Arabidopsis thaliana: one gene and its partners. The protein of the gene in region 1 interacts with the protein of each later gene in a pairwise test. Each region holds a gene or a part of one and is shown on either strand. Other genes may lie near its edges. The genes, in order: TT4, TT5, ARF18 and AT2G44130.

Region 1 (4,320 bases):
CCCACAAGCAAGGTATGTGTACTCTGCAAATTTCTTATATGAATATACGAAAGCCGCATACATGTAGAGGCTGACTCAAAAGATGCAATGAAAGGAGGAGCTTGACATGAAAAGTGAAGCATTCATCAAAGAAGAATTTAACGAAAGCTGCAATTTCGACGTGGATGATGCTATCACAAAGCTTGAGAAGCTTGGACTTGTATCTCGTGTGAGTCCCTTGCTATACCTCTCTTCTAATCAGAATGTTCCTCTGAATATGTTCAGTTAAGTAAATATTGTGAGGGCTGGTCAGGATTCAGAAGACAAGTATAGATGCGTGGAAATGAAGGAAGCAAACGAGATAATGGGGACAACTACGGAAGAGATGGTACTCAAGGCAAGACAAGGTGGAGAATATGAAGACGAGGATACAACAGCGACAGAGCCTCAAATGAATCCTCAAGATAAACTTACAGCAAAGGAGGAACGTTTTCAATCTCGGTATGATGAGTTTGAGACCTTGTGGATGTAACAAAGATTTGATGTCATTCAAGACCCATAGATTTAATATTGTAAAAAGACACAAAAAAGAGAGTACAAAAACAGTCGAATAGACCTGTCCAGCACATATCACATATCACATCAAATGAATTCTTCCTTAATTATTGCGTAAACATATAATGATTATATTATATAAAACATAAGACAGGATTAAAGTTTTGCGTAGGTAGGTAGGCAGATAGAAGGCAAGCGTTCTGTTTAGAGAGGAACGCTGTGCAAGACGACTGTCTCAACAGTGAGACCTGGTCCGAAACCAAACAAGACACCCCACTCCAACCCTTCTCCTGTCGTGGCCACACCATCCTTAGCTGACTTCCTCCTCATCTCGTCTAGTATGAAGAGAACGCACGCGCTCGACATGTTTCCATACTCGCTCAACACGTGACGTGTCGCCCTCATCTTCTCTTCCTTTAGTCCTAGCTTTATCTCCACCTGGTCTAGGATCGCTGGACCTCCAGGGTGGGCTATCCAGAAGAGGGAGTTCCAGTCACTTATCCCCAAAGGTTTAAACGCTTCGTCTAGACTCTTCACAATGTTCTTGGAGATGAGGCCGGGAACATCCTTGAGGAGATGGAAGGTGAGACCAACTTCCCTCAAATGTCCGTCTATGGCACCATCAGAGTCTGGAAGGATGGTCTGAGCGGCAGACACCATCTCAAAGATGGGTTTCTCTCCGACAGATGTGTCAGGGTCCGACCCCACAATGAGTGCGGCGGCGCCATCACTGAAAAGAGCCTGACCGACGAGGGAGTCAAGGTGGGTGTCAGAGGGACCACGGAAGGTAACGGCTGTGATCTCAGAGCAGACAACGAGGACACGTGCTCCACGATTGTTCTCGGCGAGATCCTTAGCGATACGGAGGACAGTACCGCCGGCGAAGCAACCTTGCTGGTACATCATGAGACGCTTGACGGAAGGACGGAGACCAAGAAGCTTGGTGAGCTGGTAGTCAGCACCAGGCATGTCGACGCCGGAGGTAGTGCAGAAGACGACATGAGTGATCTTTGACTTGGGCTGGCCCCACTCCTTGATGGCCTTCACTGCCGCTTCTTTGCCTAGCTTAGGGACTTCGACCACCACGATGTCCTGTCTGGTGTCCAGAGAAGGAGCCATGTAAGCACACATGTGTGGGTTTTCCTTGAGGAATTCCTCCGTCAGATGCATGTGACGTTTCCGAATTGTCGACTTGTCGCCTGTGAATAGTAAATACTTGTTAGCTAAACTATGTGAATGAAGATATATGCCAAAGGAAATGAAAGTAGAAGTTAATAAGACGTACACATGCGCTTGAACTTCTCCTTGAGGTCGGTCATGTGTTCACTGTTGGTGATGCGGAAGTAGTAGTCAGGATACTCCGCCTGAAGCACATGGTTCTCAGGGTTAGCAGTGCCAATAGCCAAGATGCCTGCAGGTCCATCAGCTCTCTGAGCCTGTCTGATCTCATCCAAAGAAGAAGCACCAGCCATCACCATTATAGTATACACCAACTTGGGTTTATTAGAGTTTGATGTTGCTGTTGTGTACTAAACAAGTTAGGTGTATTTGGAAATATACCGGAGAGTGAGAGCTTATATAACAAACTGACACGGGAAAAAGAAGATGAGAGTGTGGTAGGTTAGATGGACGGGCAGATGAAGATCTACGTGTCTAGTTGTTAGCCCCCTTTTCTGTGGTTCTTCTTGCTTCCCTTTTTTTTCGTTACTTACCAAGATTGAATGGTGGGTTTTAAATCTTTTGATTGATTTATATATTTGCAACAACAACAACTCATATTAATTTCTACTATATGCCTATTTATTATATATATACAGGTGTATACTGTATATATATCTTAAGATATTTATTATGAGTAAGATATATATTTATTATGTCTTAAGATACGTATCGCTTGTGATAAAAGAATAAAAATTAATACGTATACACCAACAAAGGGCTTTGTTGTATAGTTTCTTCACCATACAGGAGGTTTCACTTCCCAGTTCTTACACGTGCATACTTAACTCCATCATTAGCTCCTACTAATCTAATATTCATTCTTCATTTTTACCTTATGATCCTATAACTAGGCCCAAACAAAAAAAAAGTCCTATAACTAACGACTAATTAAGTAGTGTTACATTAGGTACGCCTCGTTTTCTTTCTCTCACCCCCCATCATAGTGATATCTGTCTGAAAATCTGCCCTATTTGCGCTTTCCAACGGAAGATGCCAAGATGCATTTATTTTGTTTTTCATTAACCATCAAAATAAAATTACTAATGTTCATCACATTCTTTTTGGTATGTGTATTCCACTCGTTTTTATTGTTTTTTGTTTTATCGACCTAACAATAGTTTTAATTGGAAAAATTATACCATAGGCCCACATGGGTTATGAACCATATGTGCCGGGCCCATTATGACAGAGAAATCACAAAACCCGAATGTGTGAAAATTCAATTGCAAGGAAGGACTCCAAACCGTTTTCTTTTAATCCGGTTGACCCGGCCTACCAAAACCGCCAAATCCATTATTGACGGTTAAATATGATAGGCATGCGAGGCGTAGACGCCGTAGAGTCATATCCGCAGAAGCCTATAGATGTTATTTGGTCAGCTGTAGTTTTTAACCGATCAGAACGACATGGTTCTCATATTATACACAACACACTTGTTTCGTTAATCTGCTTAAAGTCTTCAGGCCCATTAAGCCCGTCCCATATTCAGCATGTTTTGTTCAGTCATAGCTAAAAATAAATTATGTGGGCTTAAAAAAGATGACCTGGCCCATATTAACATCCCGAGAAGGAGAATGTTCGACGAATGCTTAACGGCACAATGCAGACCGGAGATTGCTTCCGATGCCGTCAGGCTGGCCACTGGATCAACGATTGTCCTCTCAAATCCTACACCGATGATCCTCCACCGGCGATCCAATGCCCATGCGGCGGAGGTTTCTGTGAAATCAAGGTCGCGAATACTCGAGAAAATCCCGGAAGGAAGTTCTACAAGTGTCCAACGGTTCGTACTCGCTTTCTTTACTGATTCTTCATCTCCTGCAAAATTCGCGAGGAAATTTGAATTTGTTACTGACGACATTTGAAATTCGCAGGCTCAGAATTGCTGTTTCTTCAAATGGTGTGACAAAGTAACCGACGAAGATATCAAATTCCGTCCTGCCTTCACCATCCCGATTTGTTCCTGCGGTGCTGGACCTTGCCGGAGAGTTAAAGACGTTTCCGGTAGAGCTTACCTGATATGCTGCATCAAAAAGGTTTTGACTCGTTCGCAAGTTTAAAGCTCATAGTTGATAATTCTGGTTAACATTGTTTTAAGAAATTGTGTTAGGGATTTGGAGCTTGTGGATTCTTCAAGTGGGAAGATGTTGAGATGATTCCTAGTTGTGATGTTATGGATGAGATTGATTTTTGGGTTGAAGCTGATCAAATTTTGAGTGATGTTGAGAGTAGCTTACAGGCTCGTGGTGGTGTTATACCGGAAATTGCAAACCAAATGGCATCAGAGAAAGAATGTCAAGCTTCTGTTAGTGGTATAGAGGATGATTGTGTAGTAGAATGTCAAGATTCTGTTAGTGCAGAGGATGATTCTACATTAGAAAATTTGGATTCCATTTCAATGTCTGTTTCTGATGTACACTCTACTGCTCTGAACCAAGGTACTTCACTTATGGACAATTTTGATTCTATTAAAGTATTATGCTTGGAATACACTTTTTTGTTCTTTGAACTCTTATGCTATTTACTAGGTATCTCTCTGTTTGATCCGGTTACGAGCGAACCTGA
Region 2 (3,756 bases), on another chromosome or scaffold:
TGGGCCAAAAAATACATGTCAGCCCAGTCCAACAATGAGCGAGTCGCTCCACAATGTTTTTCTTTACATATTACAAGTGAACCACGGACTGGCCTGCGGATCCATAGGCCAAATCAAAGACCGGATCAATATCTTAAAGTCAAATTCAAATCAAAACATAACATACAGGACTGAACCTGTCTGACTCATCACAACAACCTCAATGTAAGACCAAATTTTCATTGAAAATGCTCGTTGCTTCTTTGTTTTGAGCTCGAAACGTTGTTGCTTATGATCTGTTTCACTCTTCTCTATTCTCTCTTCTTCAACAGAATTAGACTCCCCAAAAATGTAACCGAAAAGTCCAAAACCAATGCTAAACGCAACCCACAAAAAAGCGTTAGATTCTCTGCTTTAATACAACCGAGTATTCCAATTTATTGGACCATAATTTCCTTATGTCAAGCACCATCCTTTAATAACGTTTTTGGCGAATAAGGTTTATCAGAGTTTTTTGGAATCTGATTCCGAGTAACTCCCATCTAAACCTCAACGGTTGAATCATCTTTGACATATATATCATCAAATCAAGTTAGAATAGCATTTCAAAGAAAAACACCGAAATTCCTAAACTTTATTATAATGTAAATGCATGTTCTTTATTCTCCACTTGAGTACCGCATAAGAAATTAGATATAGAAAACATAAGAAATAGAAAATGACAAAAACACAAGAAAAATCTATCATTCTCAGTTCTCTTTGGCTAGTTTTTCCTCAACAGAGTGATCACTAACTTCCTTTTCGTCCTTGTTCTTCATCATTAGCTGAGATAATCTTTCTGCAACACTTAACCTAGTGCCAGGTGACACACCGTTCTTCCCGATGATAGATTCCAGAACCGCCTCCGCCAACAATTTGTTCTCGATCACAGCGATCCCGGTTTCAGGGATACTATCATCTTTCGAAAACGCAACCTACAAAACAGTATAGTTCACAACAAACACATGTCAACAAAGTATTCAAACCTACACGTTACAACTACTATCGTTCCAAACTTCCAAACGCCAACTTTTACAATAGTACTTACATTTAAAAAACCTAAAACAGTACCTTCGCAAGTGGTTTAAATGCGAAAGCATGTCAAGTATCTCATTCCAATTTGATATTTGCACTAACGATTAACAAAATTCAAGCAAAGTATAAATCAAGCAAAAATTACCGTAAGAGAGCCGGTAGGGGAGAGAGCGAAGAGGATCGATGAACCGGGAGGGAATGTTTCTTCCTTGAAGATCTCCAAGAACTTCTCCACAGCTTTAGCTTCACAGTCCGTATAAAGCCCTAATTGTTTCCATATAGCCACACAATTCTCCGTCACTTTCTCCGAATATTGTTGTCCCGTTAACGGCAGTTTCATTGTCACCTTGATAAACTTCTCAAACGCACCTAAAAAGGAAGCAAAAAACCAATCATAAGATTGAAAACAAGACGATTAAACCTAGCTTGACGTGTACGTTTAGTAATTGGTGTTTATAAGAAAGTTACCGGTGACTATTTCACGGAAGAACGGGATAGATTCTGTTAGCTCCTCCGTAGTTTTTCCCTTCCACTTGACAGATAGAGAAGGAACGGCGTTACCCTCTAGGTATACTCCAATGACGGTGAAGATCACGAATTTACCTTGGATATCAAGGCCTCGGACACCTGCGTAAGTTAGCAAAACGGAACGTAGTCAGCAACACGAAGAAAAAGAAGAAGATAAAGAAGAACAGAGCAAACAAACGAACCGGCGCCGCCGAGGAATAATGGATTGGAGGAGGCCGGTGACTTGACGGACGGTACAAACGTGACGGAGTCTACATGAAGCTTCGTGACGGCGGGGAACGGTGACGGAGAGGCGCAGGCGTTGGATGAAGACATTGTTGAGTCGGTTGGAATTTCGATTGATAATAATGTTACAGAGCTTTTCTTGATTGTGTTTTTGGGGCCTTTGGGGTTAAGTAGAAGAGAGAAGGGTAGGTAGCAATAGTTACGATTACGAGTGTTGGATGTGTAAGCACGTGTACTTTCGTTTTCGTCTCTTTTTTTATATTTTGATTGGGAGATGCATTGACAATTGGTGGTTGAAGCTTTGAGCCCTTAAATATGCAGAGCACATAGTTAGGATAATTTCAAATATTTTCTATCGTTATCTTTCATATTATTGATTTTATATATTTTGGTTATTTGAGATAATTATATGATTATTTTAGAGTTTATCTAGGTTTTTGAATTATATTATAAATAAATTGAGTTTTATTATAAATAAATCAGGTTTTCTTTTGTATTCAGTATTCAGTTGATTGATCAATAAAATTAAAAAAAAAAAAAATAGCTTTTCAGAAAAAGTATTCTCTAATTCTTACTTTCGGAAAATCAAAGAAAAAATCAAAGAATTTCTTACGTTCTCTAGTTTCTAATATTCAGAAATCCTAGTTTTTTGGGTATTCTCAATATCAACATATCTCTTTCTTTTCTTATCTATTAAAGCTTCTACGACTTCAGCCCTTATTTCAACAAATCGTTTTGTGAATTAAAAACAATAATTCAACTTGGTTCACTTTGGTTTTGAACAATTGTACTTAGATTTGGTTGGGTTTTCGTTTAACTATGTTCATTTTAGATAAATAAAAACTTTTAACACTCTTTTATATTTAATAAAACGTTTAATATAAATTTATCATATCTATTATATGACTTCGTTTAGTTTGAGTTATGGTTTTGATTTGTTTGTTCCGTAATATTAAAACTAATCGGGTTATAAACACATTTCAATTCAATTTTGGATTTGTCAGTTCTGATGCCGGGAAGTGGGCTATTACATGGGCTATTGAACCCCACCATGAATGCTCTCTAGATTTTGGGTTCCGGTTGTTCCTACACTGGGCTGAAGTATAATAAAATCTAACTGAATCTGAAATGAAATCCATGTGAGTTTGTCACTGAAAAAACAAAAAACAAAAATGGCAAAAAATTTAATAGACTCGAGGGAACGAACGTTGCCCAAAAAAAAAAGCAAAAAAAACTAGAGAAAAAAAAGTTTTAAAATGCTCCACACTTTCTTAATTCTTCATATATATATATATTTACTTTGAGTAAACCATTTAAGATCATCTAATATTTAAATGAAAAATATTTAATGGAAAAGTTTATAGAAGGGCCCTTTAATCAGTGTGAAAGCATAAATGGTTTACAGTTTGAAAGCATAAATTTTCGGTTTGCAAATTTTATGGCTTCAATTTAACTGCGCATTTAAATACTTTAAATGTATTGTCGATTTATATACATAAGTAGTTCGAAATTAAACGTCTACTGTGATATGTTTGAACTTTATTCATTTAATAGTCATTATTGCAAAATCAACCTCTACCAAATTTAAAAGTAAATTAATTATTTACTTTGTAGTTTAGTGAATACATTAATATCACATTATATAAGTCACAAGATTTTGAATTGTCCCAAATTATATAAAACTTTGAATCATTTAACTTTAAATTTTCTAACATCTGTGCCATGTTTATTGCAGTAGCCAATCTTTTTACACCTCAGATAACCAGATTTTTTTGATCATTTACTCTCTACCAAAATGTTCTAATGTTCCATACATATAGACAATAATTTTAAAACTATTTTTCATATCCTAATTCTCCATGTATCTTGATTTGTCCATTTTTGATCTTCTAATTTTCTCATCAAAATGACTTGCGCATCAAAATTCAATTATAAGGACACTAATTTCAA
Region 3 (5,721 bases), on another chromosome or scaffold:
TAAGTACATAACCACCACCAAACCAATACTAAGTTTGAAAATAATTGTATTGTTTTCTTCTTCATTATAAGGCAAATCTGAATTAAAAGTTTAAAACAATATTTTTTTTTTTGACAAATATCAACTACAGTATACACTTCATATGTGACTTTATCCGAAAACAAAATAGATTTTCTTTCTTTTGTCATTTGCATTTTATTAAAGAAAAATCTGATGCAGCTAAAAGGTTTGGAAATTAAAACTTAAGAATTTTTATAGAGAACATCATGGAGACTTATTTTTGGCACGATAACATGAACTTCCAAAGTTTAGTTTTCATTTTTTTCGATTTCAGTTCAATTTTCTAATAACACTATATCCTAGAAGTTCATTAATCCACAAATATTTTTACCAACTCCAAAAGAGAATCTTAACTAGTCGTTTGACTCCTTTACTTTTCCATGACTTTCATATGATGCCCGCCGCGTTGATTTCCACGCCTTCACGTATTTTGTATTCTTCTCTAATACTGTAGTTTTTTTTTTTTTAAGCCTTAATTATTGATTAGAAATATAATCTTTGAACCCATAACTAATTGAATGTACTTGGTTTTGAAAATTGAATGGTTATGGAACAAGTACATACACATAAAAGATGTAAAACCGCCCCATCAACCACTGTCCCAAAACCGAAATATTAAATCGCCAACTTGAAAAATTGACATGAAAAAGAGGACAAGACTTTATATACACAGACTAAAAAAAAAGTCTTTAGACACTTACGCACTAAAACGACGTCGCCGAATTAACCTTAATTAACAGCTAAAACTCTCACCCCCTACTACGATTTTCGAATGATTCATTACCATATTCCTCATTCTCTAACGACGAAGAAATCTTCAGTTTCGTTGTCATTTTCTTAACCTCATCGCTCGAATATATAAATATCTTCTTTGCCATCTTGCAAAACTCACTGCACAATCCCACACAACAGAACATTGCAAAATCAGTTCCGGTTTAAGTTCACATTTAACTGATTTGAGCTAAACCGGAAATGTTTAACTCTGTTATTTTAGAACTTACTTCCACGGATCATCACCAGCAAGCATCATATCTCCTTCATCATCAGTGAAGACAACGATCCATTTGTCTCGGGCAAGAAGCTGTCCTTGAATCTCAAACATCTCCTCAAGCTCATCAATCAGTTCATCGTAAGATTTCAACAGTGTTAAATCAACCGCACGACCAACCGCAATGCCTTGCATTTGCACCTTTTTCAATCCAAGATCAAAGAAATCAGATTTTCAAAACATTGTTGCTATGTTATTATATGAGTTGATAAAGAAAATTACTTTAGTTCGACTTCTTGATGTTTGTTGCTTCTTCTGCTCACTCATTGAGGTTGGAGTGATGGGTTCTTGACACTTGGCAGCTCCACAAGTATCCATCGGTTGCTTGTCTTGAGGGATTGGAGCAGGAGAATTGCTTGTGAGATCAAATCCAAACAACCTATAGCTACAATTCGTTGGAGGAGGAGGAGTCTCGGGTTTGAAGCTGTTGTTTGAGGAGTATCCACCTGAAATTCTCTCAAGTGATGGATCTTGAAACAGTTTAAGGGATGCATTAATGGAATCTTGGCTCTGAGGGAGGCTGTACAAGAAACTAGGTGGGGCTGGTGTTTTAACTGATGGCTCGATGGGTCTTGACCGCTTGCATTTCGATTGTGGTTGTTGAGCAGGAGTTGAAATTGGGGAAGTTGCCAAGAAAGGCTCTATCTCCCATGGTGAGACTTTATCTGGTCTCTGAACTGTTGTTGGCTCATCCCATTGTACCTAAGAAAGACCAAGACAAAAACGTTATATAAAGACCACGTAATAAGTAAAACACTAAAATGTAAGAACGTGGAATGGTTAACTGAACCTGCAATGACCTCCATTTAGAAGCTGGCCATTGTGAAGATAGATCTCCACTTCCCACAATCGTACCAGTAAATCTGAAGACGTTCCAGGTTTCAGAATCAAGAACACTGACAAAAAAGAAATGATCAGAGAAAATGGATTCTTACATTCTCTCAGGAGACTCTTCTCCTTCAAACCTCATTCTGAATCGGGTACCGAGAGAAAATCCATGCTTTATAGCTTCCATATACTTGTTCACCCCAACTATGAATTGGCTTATCCTGCAAAGAGAGAAAACTTTTCTTCAATCAAAGAGTCCTAAACCATCTATGTATATAAAGCAAAATCATCTAAAGAACATTACTATATACCTAGGCTTGTAAAAGACAACAAAGATTGTTGTTGTACGCACAGCATGAGAAGCTGTAGCAAGAACTCCCAAATGCATGCTCTGACTTGAAATAACCGAAGTAGGCATTGTGCTTTGATGCCGAGCTAATCGTCTCACTCCAACCCGTAAATCCCCATTCTCACCCCTGAAAAACACAAAGGCATTACATTTAGGTTCATGAAACTAAACAAGACCAGTGAATAAAGTTTCAATTTCAAAAGTACCTCAAGAACACAAAAGCATCTCCAGCTACAAGTCTTTTCGAGGATACAAATGTACTCCAACCCGTAGTAAGCAAATGCCTCCGTGGTTGTCCTAAACCAAAAACGGCACTCAATGAGTCAATGTCTCATTTAGTCCAAACACAGTTTCACAAAAACACACCAAGATTAGAATCAATACCTCTGAATATATGCTTAAACCTCCATTCAAAGCCATGAAGATCTCTAGTCACAAGTTCTTGAGTAGGAGTAGCTTGTGTCATATCCTAAAAAGTGTAAAATTGGAGTGAGAATTCAAGCTAAAGTTTCTTGAATTGAGAAGGTTTCTTTAAGAATATATTTACCAAAGAAGGCAAGCATTCAGTGGCGTGTTTACGAAGAACAGAGAATCCACCATGAGTGCTTGTATCTGAAGCCGTTAAAATCTTAACAAACGAATGAAACTCTTGCTTAGTTGGTCCAACAATAGGTGGATCAAGACTTGTTGGTTCACTTTGCTGCAAACAAAACAGTAAATTGAAATCAATTCCAATCAATATAAATTAACACTCACTGAAATAAAGTTGAGTTTTTTTTTTAAGAACTTACATCTTCCTCTGGTTGTAATGTGATCTGAGCGTAAACCTCATCTGTTTCATGCTCCGCCTATAAATCAAAATTTAGTTAACAGATTCAGGGGAAATAAAACATTTTAACATTTATGATCCAACTTTACCTTTAAAGTGACATCAAGAACTCGACAAAGTATCTTTGGAGGAAGATCAAAAACAGGTATTTCTTCTGAATTGATTCCTTGATTAGTTGACGCCACAAGCTGCAAAAAAACCCAGAATTTAGAAAGAGAATGGAAAAAGAAAAATTGGGGTAAAAAGAGATGATTTTTGGGTGGGTATATACTTGTTCCATGTGACCCTGAGGGAAGTAGAAAACTCTCTCTTGAGCACGAGGAACTTCCACTAATGGACCTGCACAAACTTTCCATAGCTCTGTGTATAGTTGATCTTGATAAGACCCTAAAATCAAACAACAACAAAACCCTAACAGTCACATTTCCGCGGCAAAACTATAACAAAAATGTGAACTTTGAAGCTATACGAGAAAAATAAGAAAGTTGGGGTTTTTTCTATTTCTTTCTAAGCTCGTCTCCCGAGAAAATGAAAGAAAAAAAAATCGAAACTTTACAAAGCTGATTTTGATTCTACAGAGTAAAACCCCAAACAGAGTCACTGTTAGAAACAAAAAAAAAAACAAAACTTTCTAAAGTCTCAGCCTTTTACTACTCACTTGACGAAGAACTTCCGAAATCATCATCACCTTCAACACTCGCCATTGAAGAACCCAGATGAGAACTGGAGAAGAAGAAGTAGAAGGAGAGGAAATGAAAGAAAATAGAAAGAAAAAAAAACCTTCACGCGGTAAACACTAGTCTTAACCCCATGAAAGAAACACGAGAGAGAGAAGAAAGAAAAGACCCATCAATGGAGAAAATAAAAAAAGCAAAACTTTATAAACAGGACACAACGGACGGTTATGTCCGTATTGATTGCAGAACGTAATTCAGGCACTGTTGGATAAAACTAAATCTCTCCCCTTTTTTTTTCCGTCAGCCACGAAACCGATCTCTCTCTCTCTTCCTCTTAAAATCTTTTTTTTTTTTTGTCTTCTCCTTTCCTTTCAGATTCCGTGTTGTTTTGCTTCAACAATCACAAACTTCTCGCCGTTTTTATCCCGATCCGCAGCAAACCAAAGCTGCTTCCTTTACTGAAGAAGTCTCACAGTATCATGCACATACATATATTCACACTCTCTCCTTCTTTATCTCTCTCTATATATCAAAATATAGAGAGACTTTCTCTTAGTTCAGATCCTGGAGACCTGTCATTTCCACCCACAGTAACTTCAGTTGAATCTCCCTATTTTTCTATTCATTTAATTAAATGTTTTCTAAAATTGTTGTTTTTTGTTTTATCATGTCATCGCTAAAAAGGAAACTCAAATATATTAAATGCGCTAAAATAAAACAAATTGTATTCAAAGGCAAACGAAGGGTCACGCGGCGTTTTGGGAATTGCTTATGAACTAATTACATTTTATTATGTAAAAAAAAAACGTACGGTGCATTTAAAGGAGAGGGCAAATCTCAGCCGTCCGATCAAGACGATAGTAATAAATAAGCTTATGACTTTACTCTATATCCCTAAATTGCCCTTTTTACTGATGACCCCGTTGCCGTTAGCACTTGACGGTGCCGTTACCCACATCGTCTTGTGTCTGGATCGTGGCAGGCAAACGTGTCGGCTTCTCTATTAAACCCCGGCCACATTTTCTTTTTTCCGTTATTTTTTTTTTTTGTGTAACATCAGATAGATTGTTTTTTCCGTTACAGATTTAATTTTTATTTAACACTGTGGAATGTGAGTTAATTACACATTATGCCATTGATCGTTTTTTTTATTTAGGACCCACAAAGGCTATGGCTACACCCACACTCGCACAAGGTCACAGCCATGACTCTTTATGGGACGAGCGTCTTGGGAAGCGTGTGAGTTTTATGTTACCACGTGCCGAGTCAGTTCTGAGTCGCTGGTGTTCATGCTGTATTCTTTTTTTTCTTTCACGCGCTTTTAATCTTAGCAAATCAAAAATCGAAATTATTTGAAAAATTCATGTTTACGGATTTCATATAATTATCGTTAATTGCTTTTATAGAAGGAACTTTTGAAACGTCAAATTTAAAAAATTAAATCGGATAGAGGTGGGAGACACGCGCTTAGTAAATGAGAATGGTGAAGAAGAGTGATAAAAAGTTGAGAAAGCCATGCCGAAGTGTCGGAGGAGAAAGTGGTCCCCACATGGACACGTCAGAGTAAGAGAAATTGCCACGCTGTTTAGTCGTATTCATGACCGACACGTGTCAAATGCTGACTTGTCCTACCAATTTTGCTCATTTACAGAGGAAATTCTATCGCTATTTTTCTTATTTTATTTTATTTTTCCCAATGATAGTGAAGAAAGACTATGATCCAAAAATATTATTGCGTTTTGATTTGTGTACACCCTTGTATTTAATAAAATTTGCAACACGAATCAATGTTGGCTTGTAACCACCCGATGAGACTAATGCTATCACTCGATACTATTTGGGTTTCAAAATCTTTTTTATAGCTTAAGATTTACCTAGAAAACGTCGACGATATTACATAGCCTTACCACTCTTTTTTACTTACAAGTTT
Region 4 (3,583 bases), on another chromosome or scaffold:
CCCCCTATTAATGTTCGACCCCATTCTTATTATTTTCCTTCTTATCCCCGACTTTCATTTTTCTTCTTGTCTATCTATGTTCATATCGTGCGCTAACACCCAAATTAATCTTCTTCCCTTGAAACATGTTTTAAATAACGGCACAAATAGTAAGCGTAGATTCATAAATAACCCCAAAGTAAAACAACAGAAAGCATCATTAATTATCCGGTGGAGACGAGATGACTTGTGTGAGGCTGGAAGTCCGCGAGACATACCTTTACGTCGGTGCATCGCAGAATAGACGTGTCAACGTTTTAATATAATATGTTGAATAATCGAAGAGTAAGACCCAAGGATAGTTAATGCCAATGTATATCCATGAGAACTTCTTCTAGAAGACTATAATAAAGTAGAAACCTTTATAAAGTTATAATCAATCATAATATTATTGATGAATCTTATATTCAAACGAAACTGCCCTCGCAATTTTCTACGTAAAATAATACGTATTACAAAATTAAAAACACATGATGATATCTTACAACTTATAACAACTAAGCACAAATTTTTTGGCAAAACATAAAGAATCTATACATATGGACTATTCGTGAAAGAATTTGTTTGATAGTGCGTGCACATGCCAATATGAAATGAAAATGTCCATCATACATATTAATATACCTGTTTTAAATTGTAGTAAATTAGGGAGAAACAGTTCACGAGATGTTTACTTATCGGTTGACGGTTGCGTCAGTGAATACGACTCATTCCTTATTACTCCATATTATTTGTCTTTGCATAGCTTCTAGAAGCTTTTTGTTATTTCAAATAAAAAGTGATGGTAAAGACTAAAAAGCTCACTACTGGTCTTCGTGAACTTTATTATCAAGATGTCATAGATTCGGTTTCAATTGACACTGAAATGGAATAGTAATCTAGATATCTAGTTGATAAACTAGTTTAAAAAGTTATTAGTTCAAACTGTTTTTAAACTATAGACGCTATACAGTGGTAAAAGCGTTAAACAAAAAGTGCGGCGCAGTATACTGTCAATTTAATTTGTGATTATAATATACAATATTGTTACCTAACTTCACTTAACCAAGTAACCACTGACCTAACTTCAACTATTTGCCTTTACAATTTACATCATGAAACAACATGGACATTTCTTGAATTTTTGGTTGATATTCAAATAATCAAATTCTTATGGAGTATATGATTTACTCCACTGTTAGTTGTTCATTTTGTCCTTATGAAAGTCTTCTAGAAGCTTTCTACTTTTCCTGTTTTATGAAAAGATTGTTTTAACAAAAGCACCGTCTTCATGAACTAAACCAGTTGTTATAGATTCCATTTCAAAGTTTTATTCCTTATTAAGGAAATCGCATCAAAGTAACCCATGTGTTGACTCTTGCCTGTTTGGTGAGATTGAAAGGGAATGATTAAGAAATAAATTTTTAGATACGTTTGCGTTTTGCAACATACACGAATCTTGATTTTTTTCATACGCTGCTAAATCAAGTTTATAGGGGTTTTTAAAAATTTAAACGAACCGTCGCGTTATTTCAACCGCAAGCAAACTCATCCTCCTCTTTCCCTATTTAAAGGCTCTGCCACCTCTTTGTAGCTTCACACTCACTCAAATTTAAATCGCAACTTTCGTCAGTTTTTGTGTGTTTTCTTCTACACATAGACACTTTGCTCAATCAAACACACTCTCTGTTCTGTTTTTCTCAAACTTGTTTAAGTTCGATGACTATGGAAGTGTCGAAAAAGAAAGGTGGAGATTTTCAGCAATGTCACGAATTGATTCCCGGTTTACCTTCCGAACTAGCTTTGGAGTGTTTGGTCAGAGTTCCGTTCCAATTCCAATCCGCCATGAGATCCGTTTGCCGTTCTTGGCGTAGCTTACTCTCCGACTCTTCTTTTATCCAAGAACGGCGGAGATGCGGCAAAACAGAGCTTCTCCTCTGCCTCGTTCAACCGCTAACGCCGCCAATTCCAGCGTCTAAATCGGTTGACGAGACATTAATGGTTGACGAGAAAAAATCAGAGGATGAGTCACACCCGCGCGTTTTCTGCACGCCGCGTTTTGGATTGAGCGTTTACAACGCTGCGATGTCCACGTGGCATCGCGTTGCGTTTCCAGAGGAGGAGCAGATCCCGCTTTTCTGCGAGTGCGTCGTGCTTCAGGACGCCGGGAAGATTCTGCTCATCGGCGGTTGGGATCCGGAGACGTTACAGCCGACGAGAGACGTTTACGTTCTGGAATTCGCCGGAAGGAAGTGGAGACGAGGTGCGCCAATGAAGGAATCACGATCATTCTTCGCCTGCGCCTCCGTAAGTCCAACGAAGGTATACGTCGCCGGAGGTCACGACGATCAGAAAAACGCTTTACGCTCGGCGGAGGTGTACGACGTCGAGAAAGACGAGTGGTCGTCGGTTACTCCGATGACGGAAGGAAGAGACGAATGTCAAGGATTCGCCGTTGGTATGGGTCTAAGGTTTTGCGTGCTGAGCGGTTACGGAACGGAATCTCAAGGAAGATTCCGATCTGACGGAGAAATTTACGATCCAGCGACAGATTCATGGTCGAGAATCGACAACGTCTGGCGATTTCCAGATACTAGCCCGAGAGGTCGCACCGCCGGAGACTTTAGAAGCTCCTCTACGTTATGGTGTTTCACAGACACTGATTTACAGAGTGAACGTCGATGGGAAACTAACGATGATTCGAGAAATTTGAAACTGGATCTTCAATCTATACAGCTTCCGATGACAGGAAGCTCAGTTTTCGCCGGAAGCTTAGGAGGTGAATCGGTGGTAATGATTGGCGGTAAAAGAGAGAGTGAAGGTGAAGGTGAAGGAGGAGTGATGATGAAGATGACGACTGAGAAGAAAATGGGAAAATGGAGTCATCATGTTCATATACCTTGTGATTTCTCTACTCTTCCATTTTCGCATGCTTCAATCTATGTTTGAAAATCCCAAAAGATTTTATAGTACAACATTGTGTTCTGATCTGATGTAATATACACCAACACATATAAAAAACAAAGAACTGGTTAACAAAAGGAAAAAAAGAATTGTAGCTTGAGATTGTTAAAATGTTTGACGATGATCATGATCAGAGCATTTGCCAGTCATCTTCACGTTCATCCTCGCTGTCGTCATCCGCAAACCCGTAGTTGCTTTGGTTTATCGCTGTGTGGGTTTGAGTCACTGTGAACAATGGAGCACCGTTTGATTCCTCAGCTAGTTTCAATGCTCGGAGACAGAAATCGTCGAAATCATCTGTTGAAGATTAGGGAAAGGTTTTTTCAAGTTACAGAATTTAAAAACTTTTGGTTTCAGAGAATGTAGTAATACAATACCTTTGTCGCGGCAATAGAATCCTAGAGCTAGAGATGGGTCGAGTGATTCCAAAGGAACATAACGAAGGACACTGATGCAGATTCAAGATAAAATTAAGAAACAAGATAAAACTGAACCAGGCAAAAGTCGTCTGTGACATGATAATTTGAGGAGACTCACTTGCAATGATAGGAGGATGTGTCAACATCTGGTGTTTCCTTGTTGACTGTGACCACCTAAATCA

Evidence for each region.
Region 2: the proteins of TT4 (region 1) and TT5 interact in binary tests that used the Arabidopsis thaliana proteins (3 or more experiments, as listed by UniProt).
Region 3: the proteins of TT4 (region 1) and ARF18 interact in binary tests that used the Arabidopsis thaliana proteins (3 or more experiments, as listed by UniProt).
Region 4: the proteins of TT4 (region 1) and AT2G44130 interact in a two-hybrid assay, tested with the Arabidopsis thaliana proteins (one study listed by BioGRID).

The regions. Positions count from the first base shown.
Region 1 is NC_003076.8:4,486,454-4,490,773, reverse strand, and holds TT4 (Chalcone and stilbene synthase family protein), read right to left. Parts: upstream 2,299-4,320; 5' UTR 2,013-2,298; coding exon 1,820-2,012; intron 1,734-1,819; coding exon 739-1,733; 3' UTR 512-738; downstream 1-511. Other genes in the region: AT5G13940 (aminopeptidase), read left to right, coding at 1-12, 95-208, 293-511; AT5G13920 (GRF zinc finger / Zinc knuckle protein), read left to right, coding at 3,341-3,538, 3,630-3,791, 3,866-4,320. UniProt on the Arabidopsis thaliana protein: The primary product of this enzyme is 4,2',4',6'-tetrahydroxychalcone (also termed naringenin-chalcone or chalcone) which can under specific conditions spontaneously isomerize into naringenin.
Region 2 is NC_003074.8:20,429,520-20,433,275, forward strand, and holds TT5 (Chalcone-flavanone isomerase family protein), read right to left. Parts: upstream 2,079-3,756; 5' UTR 1,897-2,078; coding exon 1,764-1,896; intron 1,681-1,763; coding exon 1,522-1,680; intron 1,423-1,521; coding exon 1,199-1,422; intron 954-1,198; coding exon 729-953; 3' UTR 540-728; downstream 1-539. UniProt on the Arabidopsis thaliana protein: Catalyzes the intramolecular cyclization of bicyclic chalcones into tricyclic (S)-flavanones. Responsible for the isomerization of 4,2',4',6'-tetrahydroxychalcone (also termed chalcone) into naringenin.
Region 3 is NC_003074.8:22,886,268-22,891,988, reverse strand, and holds ARF18 (auxin response factor 18), read right to left. Parts: upstream 4,101-5,721; 5' UTR 3,819-4,100; coding exon 3,773-3,818; intron 3,722-3,772; exon of another isoform or gene 3,502-3,721; coding exon 3,386-3,501; intron 3,303-3,385; coding exon 3,204-3,302; intron 3,134-3,203; coding exon 3,077-3,133; intron 2,986-3,076; coding exon 2,833-2,985; intron 2,755-2,832; coding exon 2,670-2,754; intron 2,583-2,669; coding exon 2,492-2,582; intron 2,413-2,491; coding exon 2,248-2,412; intron 2,158-2,247; coding exon 2,044-2,157; intron 1,972-2,043; coding exon 1,899-1,971; intron 1,811-1,898; coding exon 1,331-1,810; intron 1,250-1,330; coding exon 1,062-1,249; intron 952-1,061; coding exon 810-951; 3' UTR 534-809; downstream 1-533. Other genes in the region: AT3G61829 (uncharacterized protein), read left to right, coding at 4,667-4,798; AT3G61826 (uncharacterized protein), read left to right, coding at 5,266-5,358. UniProt on the Arabidopsis thaliana protein: Auxin response factors (ARFs) are transcriptional factors that bind specifically to the DNA sequence 5'-TGTCTC-3' found in the auxin-responsive promoter elements (AuxREs). Could act as transcriptional activator or repressor.
Region 4 is NC_003071.7:18,251,994-18,255,576, forward strand, and holds AT2G44130 (Galactose oxidase/kelch repeat superfamily protein), read left to right. Parts: upstream 1-1,616; 5' UTR 1,617-1,737; coding exon 1,738-2,967; 3' UTR 2,968-3,061; downstream 3,062-3,583. Other genes in the region: AT2G44140 (Peptidase family C54 protein), read right to left, coding at 3,113-3,279, 3,360-3,430, 3,520-3,575.